Linked DNA regions of Rattus norvegicus. The protein of the gene in region 1 binds, or shares a complex with, the protein of each later gene. Links are inferred from orthologs where the notes say so. Each region holds a gene or a part of one and is shown on either strand. Other genes may lie near its edges.

Region 1 (4,259 bases):
TTATTTATTTTTTGTGTGTGCAGGTATATGTTACCGAGTAAACTCTCTTCTTCCACCAAAGAAGGCCATCAAACTTGGTAGCAAGTGCCTTATCCACTGAGCTATCTTGCCAGCCCTCTCACTCAACATTTGTTGAGATTCTCCCATTTTCTTTTTACGGGACCTTCCAGGAGTTGGAGGTGCAGAAGTGAAAGAAAAGAAATAAAATTTCTGGCTGGGTGTGATGGTGCAATGCCAGCACTTGACAGGAGGGTGGGGAGTTCATAGTCTCCCTCAGACACAGAAGGAGTGGAGTTTGAAGACAGCCTCAGCCTAAAAGGAATACAGACCTCAGCCCCTTCTTCCTCCTTTCATACTTGACCACCAAAGGAGCAGTTTTGCTCTACCACACATTCCCTCTTGGGACCCAAATAAATTAATAATTTAACAAATAAAATGTTTCTAATAGGCTCTAACATTCACTGCGTTGTTAACTTCAAATAAGCTGTGTATGGAAAAGACTCACGGAAGAGGCAGATGACTAATTAGTTAACTAAGCCCCTTTCGTCTTCTGGAAACAATCAATTGAAAAACACTGAGAAGAGTCAGAGAAAGTAACCTTCCAACCAAGGAGTTCTGACAGGTAGAAGCAAAGTATAATTTGCGTGTGTGTCAGTTCTCATTTAGAGCCCAAGTTGGCTTCAAATTCACGGCAGCCCTCCTTTCAAATGCGGGGATTACAAGCGTAAGGCTGCAACAAGATTTTGGACAGGATCTTTTAGCTGTAAAGGCCGTATCGAGACAGTTGGGGAATTTGGATACTGTAGAAAGATTACGGGTTGGGGATTTAGCTCAGCGGTAGAGCGCTTGCCTAGCGAGCGCAAAGCCCTGGGTTCGGTCCCCAGCTCCGAAAAAAAGAAAAAAGAAGAAAAAAAAAAAAAGAAAGAAAGATTACATGGTCGTATCACTGTTAGTTTTCTATTCGGGTAGCTGTATTGAAATTACTTAAGGAAAGGACCTACATTAGTCAGGTTTTTTTTTTTAATATTACCTTAACAAAACATGTGAGACAAAACCGAGTGTCCAATCTCTGTGAATCTGAGGCCATTCTGTTTTACAGAGCGAGTTCCAGGTCAACCAGGATTACAGACAAGGTGATAGTCTCCCTAGAACGACAATAACAACACAAAATGAAGACAGCTCTTAAAGAGGAACGGTTTCTTTTATTTTGGTTCAGTTTTGGAGATTTTGGTCTAGGACTGGTCCCATAGCTTAGAGCCTGTGGGGAGAAATACATTACAAAAGCTAAGCTCTTCATCTGGAGGCCAGCTAGGAAAGAGGAGGTACTGCACCCTCCTACAAAGGGCGTGGTCATCGCGGGAGGAACCAAGAATGGGCGGAGACGAGAGCTACCCTGTAAGGGGCGTGGTCTTATTGCTGGAGTGCTCTGGGCGGGGACTAGATATCACTTCCGGTTTGTGAGTCCGCGTGTGAACCAGCGAGCTCATGGCTACGCCGGATTCTCCCGGGATGGATGGCCAGACTGGAGACACGGAGACAGAGGTGCTACAGAGTGCAAGATGGCAGTACTGTGGAGAGCCCGACGACAGGCAGAAAGCTGTGCTGGGTAAAGACCGCCGGATAGGAGCAGAGTTCCGCATAACCCTGTCCCCTTCCAAGATCTGGGTACCACGGTAGCTCCCTGTCCACTGCCTGGAGCTGGGACAGGACCCCTGCCACCATCACCTCTTCCCTCCATTCATCTGTCATCACTTCGTATACTTCTTAGGACACTGCCCAGGATCTGACATCTCCACAGGTCTCTCATTCGCCCTTTTTCCCCTCTAGGAGCAGAGTTCCCTCTCTTGCCAGTAAATGGAATTCCCTCAGTAATTTTCTTCTGTCACAACCCTACCACGAGGTCACTTTCTTTCCCCTCCTCCAATTCCCTCTTTAGAACTGAACCAGGATTTCCTTCAATCCCCCTAAAAGTCGGACATGAGCTTCCTTGCCGTCGCTACCGGCTTCCAGCCACAATGCAATCCCCTCATTATCCCCCACCTCACCCTGCTGGTCCTGCCCGTGTCTCATTCTTTTTTTTTTTTTTTTTTTCGGAGCTGGGGACCGAACCCAGGGCCTTGCGCTTCCTAGGTAAGCGCTCTACCACTGAGCTAAATCCCCAGCCCCTAAAGAGGATTTTTTTTTTTTGGTTTTTTTTTTTTTTTTCTTTTTTTTCGGAGCTGGGGACTGAACCCAGGGCCTTGCGCTTGCTAGGCAAGCACTCTACCACTGAGCCAAATCCCCAACTCCGCCCGTGTCTCATTCTTTGGTTACACTCTTACAGTCCAATTCTCCAATGGGAAGCTGCAGAATCCAGGCAACATGCGCTTCACCTTGTACAACAGCACCGACTTGGTAAACCCCAGGCAGAAGTGCCATCGGATCCTGGTAAGTGCTTGCTGGTACAGGTTGTCTGGGTTCTGCAGACCTCAGAAGGTTCTTGGTGTGGGCAGACATGGCGGGGGGTAGGGGGAGAAACGAAGGAGTAGCAAATGGGACTCTGGCTCCATTGAGGAGCAAGATTTGGGGTGAACGGATAGCTTTTCACTTATATGGGTTTTTATCTTTCCAGACGGGTTTTCTTTGTTTATCCTTGACTATTCTGGAATTTACTACCTGGCTGGTCTTGAACTCAGGGAGTCACCTGTCTCTGACTCCCTAGTGCTGGGATTAAAGGTGTGCAGCACCAGCCACTCCTGGCTTCATATGTTTCCCCCTTATTGAATATTCACCATGTCCTCTTGTAGCAGGCTAAGGAAGCACCTTAATGGGATTTGCAACTCCTAGGGAAGCTGTTCAGAGATCAGGTTCAACCCTGTTTTATGTGTATGGGTGTTTTTCATTTTTGTCTATGTTCTGTGTATGTGTGTAGCTAATGGAAGTCAGAAGTGGGCACTGGGTCCCCTAGAACTGGAGTTACAAATGGTTGGTTGTGGAACCTTGTGGGTGCTGGGAATCCCATGAAGGTCCCATGGAAGAGTGTTCCTGACCCCAGAGTGATGCTTTTTTGTTTTTCTTGTTTTTTTGAAGGTTTCTTTGGGTAGCCCTGGCTGGCCTTGAACTCAGGGACCTGTCTCCGCCTGAGTGCAGGGATCTGGGATTAAAGGCATGTGCCACCACCACCCAGCCCCACAGGATGCTTTGTAGCATCTCTGGCCTCTCCTGGGTGGATGCCAGGGTTAAGAGCATCTGCCCTCCAGAGACTCAAATTCACCAAGTAGTACAGGCATACAGTAGACGCAGCTTGGGGTCTAAGGGAGTGCTTAGAGCCTAGCGAGCTCTGTAGGAAACCTAGTCTCTGCTCGTCTGAATGCCTTCCCGAGAAGGGTGAATCGGAATGAAGGATGGTGTGATAGCTGACGTTTGGTGTCCATAGTGAAAAGACAGAGAAGAAAAGCTTGTCTGTGATGGGAATCGAGCCAGCCGTTTCCAGTGGCCTCGGTGCATAGGGAGAGCTAATGTCAGAAAGGTCGGCAAAGATCTAGGACTTGGGCTAAGGCAGTTCTGGACAGGATCCCGGTACCTGTAAGTGCTAGAAGACCAAGGCCTCACTGGTTAGTTCTGTTGTGCCGCCAACTGCTATTTTTATCTGTATTCCCACTGCCTTCTGCCCGCTGCCATCCCCCATATCTCCCTCTTGCCGGTTGCTTGCCACCCTCCCAAATAAGTCTTTCATGACATACATACTGGGCTGGAGAGGTGGCTCAGCAGTAAAGAGCACTTCCAGAGGACCTGGGTCCAATTCCCCGCACCCAAATGGAGGCAACAACTGTCTATAACTCCAGTTCCTGAGGACCTAACACCCTCTCCTGGTTCCTGTGAGCACTTCATAAATAAGGCATGCATATATGCATAAAGGCCAAACACCCGCAACACATAACTATCTCATTACATACATACTGTATCAGCCTCTCTCTCTGGTTTTCCTTTCTTTTACAACTCTTAATTATGATTCTACTCTCATGCCTTGAATGTGTGCACACTCACACACTCACAGAGTCACACCCAGACTTTGCATATGAGAAGAAAAACGCTTTTTTTCTAAGTCTGTTTTATTCCACTTCATTTCCCCACCAGTATCATGGTTTTATTTTTCTTTTTCCTTTCTTTTTTTAGATTTATTTATTATATGTATGTGAATATACTGTCTCTTTCTTCAGACACACCAGAAGAGGGCATCAGATCCCATTACAGATGGTTGTGAGCCACCATGTGGTTGC
Region 2 (7,368 bases), on another chromosome or scaffold:
ACACACACACACACACACACACACACACACACACACACTAGTGCATTTATAGTAAGCTGTAGAAGAGTTAACTTGAAAAAAAATCTCAAAATTTCAATGGAAAGTGATAGACCGTAATATTCCACAACTAATTTGGAATGAAGTGGGGTGAGGTTCTGAGACTGTGGCTTATGGATACCTGAGACATCATTTGATGTCCTCAGTAATTCTGTGACACTTCAGAAATTGTAGTGATTCCCTTGTGATTTCTCTAGGGCAAATTAGCCAGAGCGGTTACCACTCTGGAGGATTCGGGTGCAGTCAGTTCCATTAACCATCAAGCCTACCTAGAATAATAGTAATACAGCATCCTTCAAGCACCATTGCATACATCTACGTTTGGAGTTGGGATAGAGAGATAGAAGTAAGAGTCTACTTTCAAGGAGCTTTCGGGTACTGTGGGGATATAATGTAAATCAAATCCAGTGAGCTGTTAAAACTTGACAAGTTATAGTGAGAAAGTGGAATTAGATTTTGTGAGGACGACACAATAGGCTGGTATTTAGATGGCATTCTAGCCAGTGAGTGCCATAAACAGATGGGTAGTAAATGTAAGCTAGAATGCTGGGAGCAGAGGCCTGTAAACACTCCGTAATTGTAGTAGTCAGGGGAAACACATGCCGTGGATCCTTAGGAGAGTGTCGAAGACTTAGAAGATGGCCATTACGTTCCTCCCATTGTCTTTATCTGTTTCTTTTTTTTTTTTCTCCTGCTCCTCTTTTCGTTTGTATTAGGTTTGTTTGTTTGTTTGTTTGTTTATTTATTTATTTATTTATTTATTTATTTATTTATTTATGCTTTGCTTACATGTGTGTATGTGTTCCAAGTGCATGCCTGCTGCCCTCAGAAGAAGGTATCAGATCCTCAGAAATTAGAATTATGGATGATTGTGAACCACAAGTGCATGCTGGGAATGGATTCTGGGCCTTTTGCAGGAGCAGCAAGTGCTCCTGACTGCTGAACCATCTCTTCAGTTGCCAGTTTTTGATTCTTACAGCACAGTTGTTGCTTTATCCACTTATTAGCCTCCAGTTGAGACTTGGAACTCTCTTGAGAGGAGAGGTACACGTTTGAGGTCCCTGGGACATGGTTACATCTACAATTTAAGAAACAAATTAGAATTAGATATTTTAAATAGGATGAGGCAGTAAGTAAAGATATCAATTAGCAGTTATTGAAAGGAAAATGATTAAAGGGGTCGAAAGATTTAAGAATATACAAGGTGATCACTAACATGAAAACACAAGCAGTTATGTTAAGTATTCTAAACAGCTTTTCATCCATTAGGGAAACATTATATAAAGGTGTATAATAGGAGTCATTATTACAGATGAGAAACTGATAACTTCTGTAACAGAATTGGATAATGCAGCCATTTAGAATAGAATATACTGTTTAATTGATCTGGACACCTCCCTTCCTTGATACTATGCCAAAAGTATGCTTAAAAAGGCCTTTTTCCCCCACAGTGCATATTAGGTTCCAGTGTTACTCGAGTATTAGTTGAGTATTAATAAATCAAGGGATAAAACGTTGAAATAATGAGAATTATATTGCCATATTAATTGTCCCATGTTATTTGTACCATTTATCCTGTATAGTTTATGTTTTTAGACTTGTGGGCGGTCCTGAAGCACCAGTACGTCTGTCTTCTTATTTAAAAAATATATGGAATTGAGACTCCCGTGCTAATGTTTAAGTCTTCTTAACAGCGTTTCCTAATAGTCAGACTGTTGCCTCTCTTTCTCTGTGGCAGGATTTTATTTTACAAAAAATATCCTATTTCAACTTTGGACTGTTCTCTTAGAGAAAGTAAGTAGTTTTCTGAAATCACATCGTAGCTTCTAAGTTGAACCTTTAAGAGGCCATTTGTCAGGGAATAAAATAAAACACAGCATACTTTGGCACCCTTGGGTTATTTAAAGATGTCAGATGCATTTTATCCTCCTAGTCCCAAGGAAGTCTTAAATGCTTAAAATGTCCCTTAAACTTGATCTAGTTGCCTCCTATATATCCTAGGTGAAGTTACCATGTGAACCTCATGTGGACCGTATGTATTGAGATATATATATATATATATATATATATATATATATATATATATATATATATTTTAAATAAAGAGAAGATATTTAGTGTTAAGAAATCTGTCTTTGAATATGTGATGCTTGGTAGGTTACTCTAAGTAGTTTCCCAAAAGTCTTACGGGTTTCACAAATTCATTTAGCCTTGCACTCAGTGGGCATAACAGTCCTTAGAGATGCTGAACCCTGTGGGTCCTGGTATCCCCTTGGTGGCCATAATTTGCAGTGTTTACTGTTATGAAAATATCATTCACTATGCTGAAATGAAATTTAAAGATTAGCACAACCTACCCATATAGTTAAAAATTTTACATAGTGTCCCAACCCTGTAAACCATTTTAATCTATGACATTTGAGCATAATGGTCTGGAAAACTAAGACGTTAGGTGCTTCTTCACTTATTCATAGAGTTGCTGGTTAAGTGTTTCAGTCAAATGCAGATTGATCCAGACATTTTGCATGTGTAGCTCAGATAGTACACACTCCATCTACAGTTACTGGTGCTTTTATGACATGGTTATTTCTGTTGACCTACCACAAAATAGTCTTTCTGGCATACAAGTATTGCTCCATTTCTACAAGTGTTTTAGTATGTTAGGAGTATATAAAGTTGACAAATATAAATTGATATACTTGTTTTAAAGTGTAAATTCTATCCTCAGCAATTTATAAACAAGTTTGTCCCTTATTTAAGAATCCTGCATAGAGACTGCTTGCACATACATGTACAGAACTGTTCTGTACACAGCAGAGTTCCTTTCTGGCTTTTGCAGTGTCTGTGATAAATGCAGCAGTGACATTTGTTTCCAAGTGCCATTTAGGGACAGCGATGTCTCCTCGCTAGATTCTTCTCAGTATTATATTAGAGGAGGTTTCTAAGAGAAGCAGAGACTTTTCCTTGACAGTTGTGGTGGATACTTGTGTTTTCCTTTTGTTCTGTTTCAACGTCCCTCACATTGCCTATGATGTACGATTCCTCCTTAGGTAAGCCACAATGTATAGAAGCTAAATTTTCAGTACTCTCCTTGGAAGATCTCTGAGTGTATGGGTTTCCTAATTTGGTAGCTATTACAATTCCTTTCCTATGGGTTGTGGCTGTTTCACTAAAATAAAATCTATTATATAGAAATCCTTTTTCTTACTTTAGGTGGACTGTCCTAGAAATTTAATTGAGGCCAATAAAACATTTTCTTCTGTCCATGACCTTAGAGTTGTACTTTGAATCTAAACATTTGTACAAATGGATTCAATAAAATTAGGTTACAAACAGTAATACATTTTTACATGTGGGGTGTGTGTGTGTGTGTGTGTGTGTGTGTGTGTGTGTGTGTGTGTAGTTAGGGAAATTTCCTTCAGGAAGTTTTTTGTGCGGAAGAATTAGTAAAGCTCATATGTCTTCTTAGTTAATTGGCCTTTTAAAATAATCATAGGCTGTTAGTCTTGACTTGAAATGTGTCTACTTAAGTGTAAGTCAGTTCTCAAATGATATGGTTGTGTCCATTAACATTTCTTTTCAGTAGAAAAGATTTTAGTTTGTTATTTTTCTGTATTAAGTCATTGGTTCCAGTGATCAGGCTGTAGCTTAAACAGTCATGCTTCCCTTATTATATAGTATCACATATAGAAACTAGTAATAGTGGATAGTGTCACAATTGCCTGTGTTTAGTCAGACAGTATCTAGATGTTTTCTTGCTTAGTTCCATTATTCCCCCTAGTATGACCGATTCAGATAGGTAGCATATGAGTGTCAGTTTATTGCAGTGCTTAGTTCTGAGTGCCTGTGCTGCTGGTCACTTTAACTGAGACAATGGAAATTTTGATGAATGATAATTGCTAGGATGGCTAGTGTTATTAGCCTATGAGACTAGGTGATACCATTATGTTTGGGAAGGGGTGGTATGTCAGAGAGATAACAGCAGATTATCTTTAACTAGGATTAACAGTATCTTTTCCCCCCTTTTACAGCCTTTTAGGTGTTCCCATTGCATATGATAACATCAGAGTTGTGGGTGAACTGGGAGATATTTATGATGATCAAGGACACATTCATCTTAACATTGAAGCCGATTTTGTTATTTTCTGCCCTAAACCAGGGCAGAAACTGATGGTATGTACAGCCTTTTTTTTTTTTTTTTTTTTTTTTTCTTACTTCCTTTACATAACTTTTTTTCTGGAAATGCCTTGACCTAGCACCCTTCCTACTCCCTAACAATCACTGTTTTCTCTTGGGTTCCTTTAAAAATGAACTGTAGTTTCCACATATGGAAGAAAATCAGTAATTGTCTTTCAGTGCCTGTTTGCTTCAGTAACATGATTCAGCTCTCTACATCACTGCAGATCACAGGAATTCTCTCTTCTGTGTGGATATGTTTGTTCCATGGTATTGCTCTGTGTATGTAAACTCCAGCTATCCATTCTTCTTCTGACGGTGGTAGACAGCAGCGTCTTACCTGTTGTGGGCAGTGCTGAATAAACCTGGGCGGGTGCACAGGCTCTTCTGCTCCGTGTTGATTTTACCTCTTGGATTATTATCATATGGTAGCACTCACTACCTTTTATGATTCCTATAGTGTCTGTTGACTTACATTCACAGGAGCAATTGTGTGAGTTCTTTTTGCTCACATCTTTTCACCATGTAATTTTTGTGGTTGGTATTAACCATTTAGGTGAAATATCGAGTCATTTTCTTGTTGCCATAACAAAATACTTGACAGAAAAGGCTTGAAGGATGAAAGGTTTTGTTTGGCTTCTGCTTTACTTGGCAAGGAGGCACAGAGTACAGAAGTTTTCATCCTGCTGGGCCAAGAAACAGAAAGGAATACTGGTGTCTGACTGATTTCTGCTTTTCTCTTACTCTCTCTGGACTCCAGCCTTTGTTCTCACAGCTCTGTTAATCCTCTTCGGAAACTGTGTCATAGACACCCAGTAGTGTGCCATGGCCTACTGGGTGATTCTAAGCCCTGTCAGTCTTTGAGCGTGCTTAGCCATTGCAGGTATAGCATTGAAGTTGTGATTCGGAGTTCCCCTGTGGCTAAAATGTGAGCATTTCTCCCATGTGTTTATTGGCTACTTCTACTTCTTTTGAGGTGTGTTTCGTCAAATCATTTGTCCATGTTTTTAAAGATAGATTTATTTATTTATTTATTTATTTATTTATTTATTTATTTATTTAATATGAATACACTGTAGCTGTCTTCAGACACACCAGAAGAGGGCATCAGATTCCATTACAGATGGTTGTGAACCACCATGTGGTTACTGGGAATTGAACTCGGACCTCTGTAAGAGCAGTCAGTGCTCCTAACCACTGAGCCATCTCTCCAGCCCCATTTGTCCATTTTTATTTGACTTACTTTTTTGTTCTTTATGTTTCTGAGCTCTGACATTTCTCCTGTCTTGCGTGCCGTTTCTCTAACTCTTGAGTGTTTCCTTTGAGGTACAGAAGTACTTTAATTTTATATAATAATCTCACTACAATTAACAATCATTTAAGTGTTTTTTGCTTTTGTTTCTTGTGCTTTGGTTGTCCTCTTTTTGTTTGTTTGTTTTGTTTTTTGTCTTTTGTACATCTGTATAAAGATTTTGTTTTTAAATTCTATAAAGAACATTATTAGTCATTTGGATATTGCACTGTGGCTTGCTTTTAGCAATATGGTCATTGTAACAGTATCTGGACTTCCACATAAGAACTTAGGGAGCTAGCCAGCTTGCTTTCTTCTTTGTTTATTTCTTTTTCTTTCGTGTTTCTTTTCGTTTCTTTCTTGTCATTTTATCTTCCTCTCATTAGTTAGTTTTGCTTTACATCATAGAGGGCTTTCATTTCAAAATGGAGTTTATTTAAGTAGTTAATTTTTGTGTGGCTATTGAGAATAGGGTTAAATTGTATTTATTAGGAAAGCTATTAATTTCGTGTCTTTATTTTTGTATGTGCTACCTAACTGAATTCATTTGCCAGTTCTAAAATCTTTGGTGGAACCCTTAAATTCATCTATATATTCAGTCATCCTGCCTACAGATGGGGATAATTGAGACTTTCCTATTGCTGTGTCTTCTCTTTCATTGTAGTGCCTACTTGCCCTGGCTAGTCTTTAGTCTGACTGTGTGTGTCTTTTCTAAGCCTGGCCAAGTTTCTTAATAAGGACATAGAGACTTATTTTTATTTAAAATGCATATGGCCTTAAGCTAGGCTTGCTCCTCAGCTATCTCTTAACTTATATAAATCATTTATACCATTCTATGTCTGCCACATGACTGGTTACCTCTTCTCAGTTTCATACATCTGACTTCCTCTGTGTCTAGGTAGTGAATTTTCCCATGCCTGACTCTTTCCCAGAGTTCCTATCTCTCCTGGAACTTCTACCTTCTACTTCCTTTTGCTAATAAGCCATCAGAGCTTTATTGACAGGTAATGTTTTTAATAGTGCACTATAGATTAGTACTCTACAGAAGGAGGGCAGTGAGAATTGATTAGTTATATGATCATGATTTTAATCCTTTATTCTAGTTATGTAGTTACATTGTATTTAACTGATTTTTGTATGTCACACAATTCTGAAGTCCCTATAGTGAAACTAGTTACCTTGACTGTGTTACATGAGTTTTTGATAACACTGTAACCTTCAATTAGGTGTTCACCGGGAACATGAATTACTAGATATCATTTTGTATTATTATCAAGTTTTGGTACGAAGGTAACATGCACAGAATTAATACCTTTGTTTTGATTTATACAGAATGGCTTGGGAACCGTTGATAGTAGTTCATATTCAAAAGTTTGGTAAGGTTAAGTGATGAAGCCATTGAATCAAAGTCTTTTCTTCATACGGGACCATTACCAACTCAGTGTCCCTGTTTGTTACAGTCTATTCCAATGGACTTGATTCAGCTTGGCTAGGTCATATGTGTCCAGACATTTGTTCATTTCTCTTAGATTTTCCAATATGTTAACATACACTTTTTAAAAAGAAGAAATAACCTCTGATGGTCTTTTAACCGCTGCAGTGTCAGTTGGAATGTAACTCTGCTTTGTAAGCTGATTTGTGTCTACACCCCATTCCCAGTTAGTTTCATTAATTTTGTTTACCATTTCCAAGAACCAATTCTACTCTGGTCTTTATTACCATTTTCCACCTAATTTTGGATTTGCTTTGTTTTCTAAGACTCTGAAATGCACATAAGTTTCTTCCTAGGGCCCATGACCTTCCAAGCCATGGGCTTTGACCAGGTTTATCCTGCTCCACAGCAC
Region 3 (7,965 bases), on another chromosome or scaffold:
GTTATGGTTATACAGCTTGGTGGTGGTGAGTCCCCTAACTGTGTATATGGGGCAGGGGACTGTCTCTAACTCTTTTCCTGATTTTGGGACCCCTTTCCTCTTACTGGGTTGCCTCGTCCAGCCTTAACAACTTAATATGAGGGGATGTGCTGAGTCTTATTTTAACATGACATACCATGTTTGGTTTATATCCCTGGGACGCCTGCCCTTTTCTGAAGGGAGAGGGGAGGGACTGGGAAGAGAGGAGGGAGAAGAAACAGCAGTTGGGATGAAAAATGAGAAAAGAATAAATTTATTTATTTATCTATTTATTTATTTAGAAATCAATCACTATTGGGTCTGGAGAGATGGCTTAGTGATTAGGAGCACTGGCTACTTTCACATCTCAGCACCCATATGACCGCTCATGACCATCTATAACTCCAGTAATGAATCAGACACCCCTTCTGATCTCCATGGGCGCAAAGCGTGCATGCATGTGGCATACACAGATATACTCAGGCAAACACTCAAAACAAAGAAGTAACCCTAAAAATATTGTAAAGATTATCAATTATTTGTATCTATAGTCACTCTACAAGTGATAAGCTTCATAATATTAGAGGCTCTTATACCTAATATTTTGTCTCACTGACTTCTCAGATATTCTTTTAAGATTTATTTCTATTTTTAGTGTGTACTGCCATTTTGTCTGCATATGTCTATGTACCACATGCATGTAGTCACTCAGAAACCAGAAGAGGGTGTGAGATTCTCTGGGACTGGAGTTACAACTGTTAGCTGTTATGGCTGGCTATCGCTACCAGTGGGAGTTGAACCTGGGTTCTCTAGAAGAGGAACAAGTGCTCTTAACCAGTAGGCCATCTCTCAAGCCCTTCTTAGATATTTGCTTATTGCTTTGAGATTGAAAAAAAAAATTACCATCCTAGAGCCTGATGTGGAGGTTTTGTGACTGTAACCAGACACAGGCGGATAGGCAAGAGTACTATGAGTTCTAGGTCAACCTGGGCTATGAGACCCTGCTTCCGAAAAATAATGGCCACCTCCCTTGCACTTCTTCTTTATAGAATACATTTTTTATGTGTGAGTGTTTTGCTTGCATGCATGTTTGTGCACACTTGCATGCCACTGTGGAGGTAGGACGAAGGCATTGGATCTCCCAGAACTGGAGTTATAAATGGCTGTGGGCATCCATGTGGCATGGATGATGGAAAATGAACCGGGGTCCTCTGAGAGCATCCAGAGCTCTTAACTACCGAGCCATTTCTACAGCCAGATACTTTCATTTCTTGCACAGGGCATCCAATATGGTACTATGATCATAAGTCTCAAAATTCTAATCATTATCACACAGTAGCTAATCTTTCCCTCACAACTATCTCAGGGTTGGGGATTTAATTCAGTCGTAAAAGGCTTACCTACTGAGGCCCTGGGGTCCATCCCAGCAGGCATGCATGCACACGCATGAGCACCCCCACACACATGAACCATAACAGAAGTTTGTTACATGTTGAGGCTGGCTTGGACCTTGCTCTGTAGCCCAAGATGGCTTTAAACTCACAACCCTCCTGCCTCAGCTCCCCTAGTACTAAGATAAAGGGATGCACGACCACACAGACATGCTGTATCTTTTATTAAAGCGTGTGCCAGTCTTCCATGAAATCTAGAGCTATATACTGTAGACTTTGTATCTCTGGTTCAAGCACCGACTAGTGTATTTTCTCCATATTCTAACTTTTCATCTGTATTAAAGAGAGAACACAGATTTCAACTACACAGTCTGGTCTCAGCTCTAACCCTTACACAGGTGCTAAATATGTATTGGACAGACAGAGCTTTTAATGGGAAAGGAACGTCATGCCTTATACTGCTTGTGCAGTAAAGGCAGCGGTCAAACCACGGTGGATGTCTGAAGAATGTCCAACTTTAAAGGGAAAGTGGGGCTAATTTCTACTTTGAAAGAAGACACAGGTAAAATTTAGAGTTCAACCATCACAGTCTCGGCAACAGAGCTTTGCCAGTTTCACCCCTAAGTAAAACGACAGGGTCTGTCCTCCGGCATCTTGCTCAGGGGTTTTAACTACTTCTCCAGGGTTTAATCTCACAATAAGTGCACAGAAAGACAGATGAGGGTCTCTTCTATGAAAGAGTAGTTTATGTCCTTTAGAAAGTAGTTATGTGACTTAGCATGGTAATCAGGTTGGCTGCTGGAGGGCTGGGGACGCTGTCTTCAAGCTGGTCCTTCTTCAGTATACGTTTTCCTTACTTTGTACGCTTCTGGTGAATGAAACGACACGACTTTACATTTACTCTATTGTTCACTTACTGGATGGCAGGTATTTAAACACGGGTGAATGGGAGCTTAGGAGAGTGGAAGATGGTCTGCAAGTGAAAGCCAAGACCAATCTCCTAGTAAATCCAAAGAAGTGCTTTAATAACTAACCTCCCTCTCCCTCATCTGGCAAGTGCCTAGGGAGAGAAGAGCCCTAGTCACACCAGTTGCACCATCTTCAAATCCCTAAACTCCCTCTCACCCTCACCATTCCACACTCCTTACGAAGCTGACTCACTCAAGTGCTCAGAACTGCCCAAAGCTGACGCGAGGAAGCCGGTGTAGCCGAGAGACGAACGGCCAGGAGGGCCCAAAAGAATGCTTCTTAGCTTTGCTTTTGACTACTGAGCGGCTGCAAAAGGAAAACAAAACGGTCTCGGGAACCAGCAAAAGTTGCGGTTCTCTCAATCCAAGAGGTATCAGTTGCTCTGGAAAAATCAGTACAGTTTTAGGGGGACGCTCCCGCCCCCTTCCCCTGCTACGTGTAGGATTCCCTGCAAAAGCAAATAGTCCAGGATTAGTGCGGAGCAGGAAAATAGCGAGTGGCCTAGCACTAGCTACTCGCCTTAACTTGGTCGACGTCATAGTCCCAGACTGCGTGCCGCCGTATATTCCCTTCCGCCAGAGGTTCGGCTCCTTCCCTTAAGCGGCCTCGAGTACCTGCGCCATTAATTATGACGTCACGACCCAACGGCCACCAGGACCCGGAAGACGCTCTAGCCCGCCGGGCGCACTCGCTGCCTGGCGCCTTGGGATCGGACGCTCTAGCCCGCGGCTGGGATCTGTACTCTATCTCCCTTCCGCCTACCTCCTGCCGCACAAGGCTCCCCAGCAGCTGAGGCTCCAGGCTCCTAGCACTCCAAACTCTGCGGTCAGAGGATCCTGTGGGAGGAGGACTCAGGTAATTCCCGCTAGGGAAGCGGTGAGGAACCACCTTCAAGGCCAGACTCCTGCGCCTCAATAATAAACTCCTCTTTCCCAGCTCTCATCCGCCATGGAGCTGGCCCGCCCCTGCTCCAACTTTCAATCAGACTTGGATTTCTGCCCAGATTGTGGCTCCGTCCTGCCGCTGCCTGGAGTTCAGGATACTGTCATCTGCCCTCGTTGTGGCTTCTCCATCGATGTGCGAGGTGAGGGGCTGGTATGCTAGCTACGTCCACGATGGAGGTGACCTCAGCACTGGTTGGGCTTAGGGAGGTGAGACTCAGAACAGGAATCTGTTAGGGAGACATTGACCAAGGGAAGAAACTCAAAGGGAGGTCGTGACTCACCTGGGAGAGTGTTGCTGGGATTCGTTGCCTCTTTTGCTATTTCTACTGTTATTTTTTATTGGTTTGTTTATTTTTACTTCCTGTGCAGATTTTGGAGGGAAGGTTGTGAAGACCTCAGTAGTGTTCAACAAACTGGGGACTGTCATACCTATGTCTGTGGATGAGGGACCTGAATCCCAGGGACCAGTAGTAAGTTGATAAGGACTAGCTCCAAAAGAACAATGGAAAGGGGAATTGGGAGACCTGGTTTTGCACTCCATTCCGTGAGAATGTCCAAGGAGTGCAATAGTCTGATTTCTATGTGGAAGCAGAGACTATGATTAGAACTCCATAACCCTTCTGTTCCTTCCTAGGTTGACAGGCGCTGCTCCCGATGTGGTCACGAGGGAATGGCATACTACACCAGACAGATGCGCTCAGCTGATGAAGGACAGACTGTCTTCTATACCTGTATCAACTGCAAGTGAGACGATTACCCCTCCCATTGCCCCTTTTCAGTGCTTGCAAAACAACATTAATGACAGACTCATATTATTTCATTTGGTCCGGTTCATTAGAGGAGGGTTTGTAGCCCCTTTTTATTTTTATTATTTACTTGGCGTTTTTCAAGACTTAGAGCTCACCCAGGCTGGCTTTGAACTCTCAACCATACAGCCTAGGTTAACCTCAAGTTTCCTGCCTCTGTTTCCTGAGTGCTGAGATTCAAGCATGTGCCACTGCAGCTGGCTTGTTAAAAAGACTGTTTATCTTTTAAAGTTATGTGTAGGTGTTTATATCTGCATATTTGAACGTGCAGGTACCCACCAAGGCCAGAGACCTTGGGTCCCTGGAGCTGGAATTACAGGTAGCTCTGAGCCTTTGGATGTGGGTGCTGAGAACTGAACTTGGATCCTCTGCAGATCCTCCTAAGCGTTGAGCTATCTCACAGCCCCCCCAACACCCACCCCCTTACTGTTTTTACAGCTAGTTTTCTAAACCTATTAAGATGTATGAAAAGAGAGCTATGTGTGGTAATGTGTGCCTCAAAAGGAGGATCGTGGTTTCAAGGCCAGCCTGAGCTACACAGGCTGTCACCAAAGCAAAATGAAAACCAAAGCTTCTAGGAAAATTTAAAGCACAGGAAGTAGGCATTGTTCTGCACAGTTGGACAACATGCTGAAATTTTACACTGTGAAGGAGTGACTTGACATAATCTTGCATGATTCAAAGGACGTGGTCTGGATGGTTTGGAGCAGTCTTGTCTTGGTTGTTGTGTAGTTCTACATAATTGTGTGGCTTTCTGTGCTTTTGCTTTTTGTTGTTTTCCTTTCTCCTGGGGGTACCGCTTTAATTCTCGGCCTCAGGCATGTGAAAGAAGTGCTCTGCACTCAGTGGTGCCCCGAGCTCTCTTGTATTTGTTCTCTTTAGAATTGTAATTAATGTTTTTCTTCTTCTTAATCTTCTTATGCTGCTTCTACCTCTGAGATTCAAGGATTACAGGCGGGTCGGTGCCACCATAACTGTTCTGAGGATCCAACTCTGAGCTTTGGGAGAACTATATAAGCACTCTTACCAGCTCAACCACATACCAGTCCCTTAGGTTTCCCAAGCTGAGACTTGACTTACCTTTTGTCAGTCTGGAAATATATCAGCCATTATCCCATTCCAGTATTGCTTGTCCCCCATGTCCTCAAATTTCTTATTAGACTTTCACATCTCTCATCTTTGTATTTTCCATCCCATTTCTGTTTATAGAGTCTTCTGGGTAATTTCTCCAGATCTTTCTTACAGAGAGGTCAGAAAAAGATGTCAGATTTTTCTCTTCAGTTTGTATGTTTGTGGTGGGGAGAATGTTGTAGGTGTAGTGTATTTATGTGTTCATGTGGATGTATGCATGTATTTGTGCATGTGTATATTTGGTAGCCAGTGTTAGACACTGGGTATTTCTCTCTCTCTCTCTCTCTCTCTCTCTCTCTCTCTCTCTCTCTCTCTCTCTGTGTGTGTGTGTGTTTTGAGACAGGGTTTCATTATATTCTTGGCTAGCCTAGAAATCTTTGGAGACCAGACTGGCTTCAAACTTCCAGATACCAATCAGCCTCTGTCTCCAGAGCGTTGGAATTAATGTATGCCGCCACTTCCAGTTCTCCACATTATCTTACGAGGCAGAATCTCTGATCCTGGAGCTCAGACTAGGCCGGTTACCCAGTCAGTGCGTTTTGGACATTCATTTTCCCACTGTCCCATGTTTCCCAGATCTAGTAGAGCCCATTCTGTACATGTGGACTACCACACCCAGAATTTTCTTTACTTTTAAATGGATCCCAGGAATCCAAATTCAAGTTTTCATGTCTGTGCAACAGACCCTTTCCCAGCTGAGCCGTCTCCTCTGCCCTCCCCTTCATTACTACTTTTTTCAAATGTCACGAACCATCCAGTTAGCTTGTGAGTCATTTTAAATTTTCAATCATTTCACTTAACACTTTTATGTGTGTGTGTCTTGCTTGCATGTGTGTAAGTGCACTGTTTGCATGTCCGGTACCCAGAGAGGTCAGAAAAAGATGTCAGACTCTCTGGGACTGAAGTTAAAGATGGTTAGATGAGCCACCAGGTGGGTGCTAAGGATCAAACCTGGGTTCTCTGCAAGAGCAACAGGAGCTCTTAACCAGTGAGCCAACTCTCTGCACCCACTAATCATTTAAAGTTGCCCCTTTTATTCTTTAAATGTGTATGTTAAGTATATTAAACGTGTGTGTGTGTGTGTGTGTGTGTGTGTGTGTGTGTGTGTGTGTGTGTGTGTGTGTGGTGATTCTAAGATCCACCGTTTCTGTGGATCTGATACTGTCTGTTTCTGCTGATGTCTTCACGGTATTGTTTTGCTTTGCAATGTTTGACTGTGTGCTACTTATTTTATGACTTGAATTCTGGGTCTCTTTCAGTGTGGGTGAACCCAGGTAGCGTTCCCAGCGTTTATAGGGTTCTTCGAGAAAGATCTGTTCCTATTGTTTCCAGCTACAACCTTTAAAAAAAAAAATTATGGGTTACAGTTTAGCCTTTTCTTTTTCTTGGCTAGTGATTTTCTGTCCTGGGAAATCTTTGCATACTTCATAGTAAGAATTAGATACTGGTCACCGTGAGGTTAGAGGTAAAGGGTGGTTTGGGGGACGCTCACCCATCCCTGTCATAAGAAAAACGTCCTTCATGGGTTGGATCTCATCTCAGACTGCTAGAAATCCTTTTCGGTTAACTACAACATGTCTTCTTTCTCCATAGGTTTCAGGAAAAGGAAGATTCTTGACCCCTTTTTCTGGCAGCTCAGCGGCAGTCCTTTCCTCCTCTTGGACGTGAAGATTCTGGTCTTTGATGCCTTCTTGGTCTCCTCCGGTTATCAGGCTTTGTTTTCAGAATAAGATCATCGACCCAGAGTACTCCTTCCCCTTGTCGAATTTACTAAAGTTATTTTTCTATGAAACTTTGACGTTATCTGTGTCACTCTAAATCTTCTGTCCTGGTCGGGCACTGGTGATATTTGCCCTGTCACGGATAGACGGACAAGGAATTCAGGGCCAGCCTGAGCTACCTAACAAGCTAAAAAAACTAAAAAAAAAAAAAAAAAAAAAAAAACCCAATAATCGGTCTCATTCCAAAGGGAATTTAAGTGAAACAGAGATCCAGCTATAAAAAAAGAAAAAAACTATAATAAAATAATGGAGTTGGGCATGAGGCTGTTGTGGGTCTAAGAGATTCCCAAGGATCATAAATAAATTTTAATAAGAGGCTTTATTAAGTACTCATGGCACCAGGACTGCAACTGAGAGCACTCCCAAGATGCAGCATCAAAGCCTATAAAGTTAAAAACCACCAGATTACATATACTCTGCCTGCATGTAGGCAGAGTCTAATTTTAGCATTAGTGTCTTAGCCATTGAGCAGAACAGGTAAATTTGGGGTTAAAAGTTTTGTGGATGGGGGTTGGGGATTTAGCTCAGTGGTAGAGCACTTGCCTAGCAAACGCAAGGCCCTGGGTTCAGTCCCCAGCTCTGAAAAAAAGAAAAAAAAGTTTTGTGGATGGATTGGTGTCTCTAGTGCTCCACTGGGGTTCCTCTCTGGCTACAAGAGGTGGGCTCTTCAGAATTCATATCCCCAGTGTAGTGTGAGTCATAGCAAAGGCCACCTCCATTGATTCTTGGGTGCCTTCCCTTATCCCTCATCCTGGAGAGAGCCCCCCAACCCTCCACCTCCTCACCCGTTAGTTGCAGATTTTTTGTTCATTTTGATGGCCATCCAGCCATCTCTCCTTTCCCTCCTGGCACCTGATCCTGAACCCATTCCCTTACCTATCCCCCTCCTTTCCAGTTCCCTCCCTCCATCTGCCTCATGACTATT
Region 4 (7,368 bases), on another chromosome or scaffold:
GGCTTGCAAATTATAGTTTTCCTGCTTAGTGTACTGTTTTCCCTCTCTTTAAGATTTGTTCTGAAGCTGGACAAGATGGCGTACATACCTTTAATCCCAGCTCTCAGGGGGCAGAGGCAGGCAGATCTCTTGAGATTGCAGCCAGCCTGGTCTACAGAGCAAGTTCCAGGACAGTCAGGGCTACACAGAAAAACCCTGACTTGAAAATACAAAACAAAAGGACTTGTTCTTTATTTTTGTTTTCAGGAGATTAGCTGTATGTCTAGATGTGACTCTCTTTGTGTTCTGATAGCATTTACTGGTCTTTATAAGAAAAAAACTGATCAACTTTGGAACATTTTCAAGGGTTTCAAAACTTATTTCTTCCTCTTTATTGCTTCTCCTCTTTCAAGACTTAGCCATGCGTTTCATAAATAACCCTGTGGTTATTCACCTTGCTGTGTGTGCAGGTTATGTGTGTGGGTGTGCACATTGCAGCATGAGTGTGGAGGTCAGGGGACAGGGCAGCATGAGGGTGGAGGTCATAGGACAGCATGAGGGTGGAGGTCAGAGGACAGGGCAGCATGAGGGTGAAGGCCAGAGGGCAGGGCAACATGAGGGTGAGGTCAGAGGGCAGGGCAACATGAGGGTGAGGTCAGAGGACAGGGCAGCATGAGGGTAGAAGTCAGAGGACGGCATGAGGGTGGAGGTCAGAGGGCAGCTTTGTGGAATAGTCTCTCTTCTTGCCTTTATGCTGGTTCTAGGAGTTGAACTCCAGTTGTCTTTCGGTCTAGACCTGTTGTGTTGGGGTGTTTGTTCTTGTTACCAGTTTGTTTTCTGGGGATTTGTTCCCTCTTCACTATGGGCTTGTTTTCCTGTGTATGTTGAGCCTGATTAGTGGATGCTGTAAAGTTACTGTTCCAATGTTGGGGTGGTCCCAGGACTGCTGTCCACTGACTGTAGTTTTTCTTGAGTGTGAGTTATGTTTACTGTTTACACTATGTTATAGTGTTTCAGTAATCTCTGTGTCAGCTAACGTCACTGGTAGCCCTTTAAGCTAGGCCCCTGATAGGCCTCTCTGAAGGTGCGGTCAGCCGCCAGTCTTTTTTTTTTTTTTTTTTTGGTTCTTTTTTTTCGGAGCTGGGGACCGAACCCAGGGCCTTGCGCTTCCTAGGCAAGCTCTCTACCACTGAGCTAAATCCCCAACCCCCAGCCGCCAGTCTTGACTGATGTTTAACTGGGTTCTTAGTCTCAGTTAAGCTACTTGGCTCAGTCTCATGCAGTTCTCACCAAAGGTTTACACTCAACATATGTGCAGAGTAAAGGCTCTTCCTCTGTTAGCCACATTTAAAAAAAGGGGGGGGGGGTTGGGGGATTTAGCTCAGTGGTAGAGCACTTGCCTAGCAAGCACAAGGCCCTGGGTTAGGTCCCCAGCTCCGGGAAAAAAAAAAAAAAAGAAAAACAAACAAACAAACAAAAAAATACCTCTTACTTTCCAGCAGCTGCCATGCTATGAATTCTTTTCCTTGATTTTTCTAAACATTAAATAATTAAAAACTTATTTTATTATTTTTATTTTTGAAATCTCAAAGCCCATCCTCAATGACACACATTTCCTCCAACAAGGCCACACCTACCCCAGCAGGCCACACCTACCCTAGCAGGCCACACCTGCCCCAGCAAGGCCACACCTACCCCAGCAAGGCCACACTTACCCCAGCAAGGCCACACCTACCCCAGCAAGGCTACTAATCCCTCTCTAGCTGTGCCACTTCTGATGCCTGAGCATTCAGACATAGGAGCTTGTTTGGGTTTACTGTACCAGGTAGTGCAGTCTGTCGAGGCAAGAGGTGCAGGGTCAGCCGGCCACACAGCATGGGGAGCGGGAGCAGTGACTCTTTGCGCTCAGTTTGCTTTCTCCTTTAGATCCAGTCTGGGAGCTGAGCTCTAAGTTTAAGGCCTGTCTCCTACCTCGGTTCACCTCACCTAGATAATCCCATGTAGACACATCCAGAGATTTGTTTCTATGTAATTTCTACATCTAGTCAAGCTGACAGTCCAGTAGCCATCATTTCTGTATACATATTTGGTTTTAAAATCGTCCTGCTCTGAAAGGATTTCTTGTAAAGGAATGCACAGATGCACCCCTTACCTGTGCCCAGAATTTACAAACACTGTCACAAATTACAAATTACAAATTCTGTGTGTGTATCCACAGGGGTCCTATACTTGTCAGTGTCCTCTGCAGCTCGCAGTGTTCCCATTATATTGCAAATGATAGCATCTGCTGTGTGTCACAAGCGTCTGTAAATAGTGTGTACATTAAACGCAGTTCTGAACTCTAGGCCTGCGTTATTTCAGTCCAGGCGGTGCTGATATTCTTGGTTCTCAAAGCTGATGTTAGTCTCATAAGCAGAGCCACCATGCTTGCCTTACTCATTCTGTGGTGTGTGTTTAGCTCTTTGCAGTTTTGGGAAGCGCTCTGAGAGTTGAGGATTGAAAACAAAGCCTTTTTTTTTCTTCTGTAGGTAAGCAGACCATGGGCTTCCCGCTGCTCACCTACCAAGACCGATCAGATAATAAACTCTATCGTCTCCAGACACCCCAGAGCCCTCTAGTGAGACCGTGCATGTATGATCATTATGACATGGACAACTATCCCATCGGGACAAACGCCATTGTGGCTGTGATCTCCTACACTGGCTATGATATGGAGGACGCCATGGTGAGCGTTCGAGTTCTACCTCTGTAATCCTTGTTCTTAACTGTAAACATCCTCACTGTGAGGTTACTGACACAGTGTTTGTGTGCCCTCAAGGCCATAAAAGTAAATGCATTTGTTCTTGAAATGGTTAATTCCTGGTCTGCGATGAATGGAGGGAGACATTGAAAGATACTCAGTGTGTGTATACCTTCCATATCTGCAGACACACTGTGAGTAAAGGTTGATGTGAGGTTGCTATATTCACCCTTTACCTTGGATTATGTCTTAAGCCATATCTGGGGCTTGATAGTGTTAGAACTTTGGAAATGTGGTTTCAAAATCAAATGCCGGTTACCTTAAACCAAATATTAGTACAGCCTTAACTGGTTATATTTTGAAAGAATTGGTTTGCTCTCAGTCTCATAAATTAATTGGATTCTTTGACTCCACAGATTGTAAACAAGGCCTCCTGGGAACGAGGCTTTGCTCATGGAAGTGTCTACAAGTCTGAGTTCATAGACCTCTCTGAGAAATTTAAGCAAGGGGATGATAGTCTGGTATTTGGGGTCAAACCTGGTGACCCACGGGTTATGCAGAAGCTGGACAATGATGGCTTGCCATTCATAGGAGCAAAGCTGGAGTTTGGTGATCCTTACTACGGCTACCTAAACCTTAACACCGGAGAAGGCTTCGTGGTTTACTATAAGTAAGTGTGGGGACATGTTGGACTACTGGTTGGTTAGTGAGTGGAAAAGTGTGCCACTGGGAGCCTGATTGGTCTGGAGGACACTGTACTGACCAACCTGGCCCAGATGTGATGAGTGATCCCTCTGCCTCTTAAGTGATGGGATTATAGGCCTATGTTGCCACATTTGGCTTATGGGCTGTTTCTTAGTGAAATTACTGGAGGTCAATTAAGTTGTCTTCTAACAGAAGAAACAACTTTAGGTAATAAGCTAGTTATTGTTTTAAATCTCTGCTGTGCTAACAAATAGATAAGACTGGGAAATGAAAGAAATTCTCTCTGTTCTGTGGGCTAGGGCGTTCAGGGTTAAAGGTGAATCCTCATGATGGCCCTGTCTTAGAGTCCTCACACGGGGATGGAAAGGCAAATATAGTGAACAGCTCAGAGCCCTTCCGTGAAACCCCTATCTATCAGGGAGACTCTCTCCTCAGGACCTAAATCTGTCCTGAAGGCCTGACTTCTGACACCACAGCAGGAGAGGTGGTGGCGTGACCTAGCGGTGAACACACGTGGTTGATGTTATTCATGGTCACTGCAGAAATGAGCACTGTGCTGTGTTTGGTGTCTTACTTTTGTGGTAACTTTCTATGGTCATTTCCTTAAACATGGCATTAGGGGTGAATCCTAGCCAAAATACTGGGTTCTTAGGCCTCTTTATAAAGATGAATAATTATCTTAGCTGATTTTTTTTTTTTTCTCTTTTGGAGCTGGGGACCAAACCCAGGGCCTTGCGCTTGTTAGGCAAGCGCTCTACCACTGAGCTAAATCCCCAACCCCCATCTTAGCTGATTTATAATGACAGCTTCAGTGGACTTGCCTAGAAGATTTTCATTTGCTAATATTCTCTCAGATAAACACAATTAGTAATCCTAGTCATGAATATCATCTAACATCTATTTACATTGTGAGCAGATGGGGAGCATTATATATATATATATATATATATATATATGTATATGTATATATATATATATATATATATATATATATATTCTGAAACATTAATCATGTCCACAGGGTTTAAATATTTTTAAGTTCAAACCAAGCTTGACTAGGCTCTTTGTCACATGCCTGTTCCTAGCACATGGGAGACAGAGACAGGGAGATCACTGCAAGTTCTAGGTCAGCCAGGGCTAGACACTCACAAACAGAACAAGCTGCTTGACTTCTTATTTCATGCATTTTCTTTAGGAGTAAAGAAAACTGTGTTGTGGACAACATCAAAGTGTGCAGTAATGACACAGGAAGTGGGAAGTTCAAGTGCGTCTGCGTCACCGTCCGAGTCCCCCGGAACCCAACTATTGGAGATAAGTTTGCCAGCCGCCACGGACAGAAGGGCATTTTGAGCAGATTGTGGCCAGCTGAGGACATGCCTTTCACAGAGAGTGGGATGATGCCGGACATTCTGTTTAATCCTCATGGGTTTCCCTCCCGTATGACCATAGGTATGTTAATCGAGAGTATGGCTGGGAAGTCAGCAGCTTTGCATGGTCTCTGCCATGATGCAACACCCTTCATCTTCTCCGAGGAGAACTCTGCCCTAGAGTACTTTGGTGAGATGTTAAAGGCTGCCGGCTACAACTTCTATGGCACGGAGAGATTGTACAGCGGCATCAGCGGGATGGAGCTGGAGGCTGACATTTTCATTGGTGTGGTTTATTACCAGCGCCTACGACACATGGTGTCAGACAAATTTCAAGTCAGAACAACTGGAGCCAGGGACAAAGTCACCAACCAGCCCATCGGAGGCAGGAACGTCCAGGGTGGGATCCGATTTGGGGAGATGGAGCGGGATGCTCTGTTGGCGCACGGCACATCTTTCCTTCTGCATGACCGCCTCTTCAACTGCTCCGACCGCTCTGTGGCCCACGTATGCGTGAAGTGTGGCAGTTTGCTTTCTCCGCTGCTCGAGAAGCCTCCCCCATCTTGGTCTGCGATGCGTAACAGAAAATACAACTGCACCGTCTGTGGCCGCAGTGACTCCATCGACACTGTCTCTGTGCCGTATGTTTTCCGGTACTTTGTAGCTGAGCTGGCTGCCATGAACATCAAAGTGAAACTGGACGTCATTTAACTTGATCACGGCCATCTGCGCTAGGAGAAGAGAACAAAAGGTGCCTTTAATCCAGTGAGGATACTATGGGTCTGCTCTGGGTCTATATAAGAATTTCAGTACGGAAATGTCTCAGTAACCTACTGAAGTTGGTTTTGGTACATTCATTTTTAAAAAAAAAATTATGTGCCTTCTTTAAAAAATGACTTAATTGATAATAGGTCATGCAGGGCCCTTCTGGGCCCAGGTTCACTCGCTGTTCCCTGCTTTGAGTAGTAGAGTGTGTCCGCCGTCTAGAGCAGGGCAGTACAATAAACAGAAAATGGAAGCCATATGGTAATATTTATTTTTTCTAAAGATTTATTTATTTTATTTATATGAGTACACTGTAGCTGTCTTCAGACACACCAGAAGAGGGCATCAGATCCCATTACAGATGGATGTAAGCCACCATATGGTTGCTGGGATTTGAACTCAGGACCTATGGAAAAGCAGTCAGTGCTCTTAACCACTGAGCCATCTCTCCAGCCCGTAATATTTATTTTTATATACATATAAACTAAAGCTATTTTGTATATATAATTTGCTGGGTGGATTGGAATGTAGGTGTGGTCCGTGTTGTCATTATCACAGTCAAGGGGACTGACTAGATGTATTGATCAATGTTGGTCATGGGTGCCACAGTAGAGAGAAGCCCACCAAGGTGCTAATGATTTCCATAGGAGCAAAGGGCTTCAGCCTTCTTGAAAAGACTGACCCCAACTAGCACATTTCAGTTACTTTTATTCAGTCATTACACAAATTAATTGGGTCTGGGAAAGGTTCCAACTGCCAAAGTTATCTTGCTTGCCCTTGCTGCCTGAGAAAGCATAAAACCCATACAAATCCCCTTTGACCGTGCCTAGCCAGAATCAAAGGAAGAACTCTAGGATTGCCAGGAGTGTCTCGGTACCAAGGAAGGTCTGTGCGACTGAAAACTCATGTAGCAGCAAGTACACTTCGAGGGAGGCAGCATTTCTTGAAGGTTCAACAGTCTCAAAAAGGTTTTCTTAGCCTCTACTTACTCACCCAACATAGCAGAGACTTTGTTGCACAATTTCACGCAGACCAGACACAAAGACTTCCTGTACATTGCACTACACAGATCTGTCATCTCCAGTTTCCTTGTGCACCTTTGAGTGGTGTGTGTGTGTGTGTGTGTGTGTGGTGTAAGTTGAGATGACCTTTTCAGAGTTACAAGTGAGTGTGTATAAGTTGAGATGTCGTCTTCACAGTTCCAAATGCAGCGCAGGTATCAGCTACAAGTGCTGGCCTGTCAGTTTGGCTTTCCTTCTAACTCAGAGTGGGATCATGCAGCACCTGTCCTGTGTGATTGCCATGTTTCACATAGCATGACACCCCCCCCCCCCACTGTCAGCCATTTTTTAAAATGGTGGGACTTCCTCCTTTAAAGCTGGATATATCTGATTAGTGAGTAACTATGTTTATTTGGGTTTTTTTCCTTAATCTTTGTATGTGTTTCTCAGTGCTTGTTAGGATTCTGTGTGTATGCTTCTGTATAACATACTGTTCCCTGTTAATGGGCGTTTGAGTTTTTCCATAAGGAAAACACCTTGTATTGTTGATACTTCTCCCTTGTTATTAATAGCTCAGCTTTAGACCCAGACACACCCTATTCTCTATCTCTCCATGATCCTATACCTGGGGTTACGGTGTAGATCTAGTGTCGAAAATATTTGTGTTTTAAGGGTTTTGAGGGTAGGATTCATTATGAAGCCAAAATTGCTTAGCCATCTCCTTGCTCCAGCCTCCAGAGTGTGAGAATTATCAACATATCCCACAATACCCCGTTAAATTTTTTAAAATTAACTTTGATCTCAAGTTGTA

What was found.
Region 2: Polr1e (region 1) and Polr1f share a complex: the UniProt entries of both Homo sapiens proteins name them as parts of the RNA polymerase I (Pol I) complex. The link is inferred for Rattus norvegicus from reciprocal best matches to the Homo sapiens genes POLR1E and POLR1F.
Region 3: Polr1e (region 1) and Polr1h share a complex: the UniProt entries of both Homo sapiens proteins name them as parts of the RNA polymerase I (Pol I) complex. The link is inferred for Rattus norvegicus from reciprocal best matches to the Homo sapiens genes POLR1E and POLR1H.
Region 4: the proteins of Polr1e (region 1) and Polr1b are in contact, whole or in part, in a cryo-EM structure (PDB 8A43), measured with the Homo sapiens proteins. The link is inferred for Rattus norvegicus from reciprocal best matches to the Homo sapiens genes POLR1E and POLR1B. Residues at the interface, in NP_071935.1 of Homo sapiens: Gln27, Ser29, Asn30, Gly31, Tyr69, Thr76, Leu79, Lys80, Cys81, Leu84, Cys85, Met109, Gln110, Pro111, Leu112, Phe113; in NP_061887.2 of Homo sapiens: Lys254, Ser258, Phe259, Ser260, Tyr262, Gln263, Gln266, Ser295, Thr296, Gln297, Ser338, Thr340, Glu341, Ala532, Cys535, Pro541, Ile542, Asp543, Gly544.

What each region holds. Positions count from the first base shown.
Region 1 is NC_086023.1:64,073,664-64,077,922, forward strand, and holds the start of Polr1e (DNA-directed RNA polymerase I subunit RPA49), read left to right. Parts: upstream 1-1,459; 5' UTR 1,460-1,485; coding exon 1,486-1,606; intron 1,607-2,323; coding exon 2,324-2,427; intron 2,428-4,259. UniProt on the Homo sapiens protein: Component of RNA polymerase I (Pol I), a DNA-dependent RNA polymerase which synthesizes ribosomal RNA precursors using the four ribonucleoside triphosphates as substrates.
Region 2 is NC_086024.1:55,781,602-55,788,969, forward strand, and holds part of Polr1f (DNA-directed RNA polymerase I subunit RPA43), read left to right. Parts: intron 1-4,088; coding exon 4,089-4,230; intron 4,231-7,368. UniProt on the Homo sapiens protein: Component of RNA polymerase I (Pol I), a DNA-dependent RNA polymerase which synthesizes ribosomal RNA precursors using the four ribonucleoside triphosphates as substrates.
Region 3 is NC_086038.1:1,597,038-1,605,002, forward strand, and holds Polr1h (DNA-directed RNA polymerase I subunit RPA12), read left to right. Parts: upstream 1-3,132; 5' UTR 3,133-3,233; exon of another isoform or gene 3,234-3,314; 5' UTR 3,315-3,326; coding exon 3,327-3,462; intron 3,463-3,691; coding exon 3,692-3,792; intron 3,793-3,956; coding exon 3,957-4,066; intron 4,067-6,852; coding exon 6,853-6,877; 3' UTR 6,878-7,051; downstream 7,052-7,965. UniProt on the Homo sapiens protein: Core component of RNA polymerase I (Pol I), a DNA-dependent RNA polymerase which synthesizes ribosomal RNA precursors using the four ribonucleoside triphosphates as substrates. Can mediate Pol I proofreading of the nascent RNA transcript.
Region 4 is NC_086021.1:136,805,796-136,813,163, forward strand, and holds the end of Polr1b (DNA-directed RNA polymerase I subunit RPA2), read left to right. Parts: exon of another isoform or gene 1-490; intron 491-545; exon of another isoform or gene 546-1,702; intron 1,703-2,507; coding exon 2,508-2,704; intron 2,705-3,135; coding exon 3,136-3,389; intron 3,390-4,619; coding exon 4,620-5,502; 3' UTR 5,503-5,813; downstream 5,814-7,368. UniProt on the Homo sapiens protein: Catalytic core component of RNA polymerase I (Pol I), a DNA-dependent RNA polymerase which synthesizes ribosomal RNA precursors using the four ribonucleoside triphosphates as substrates.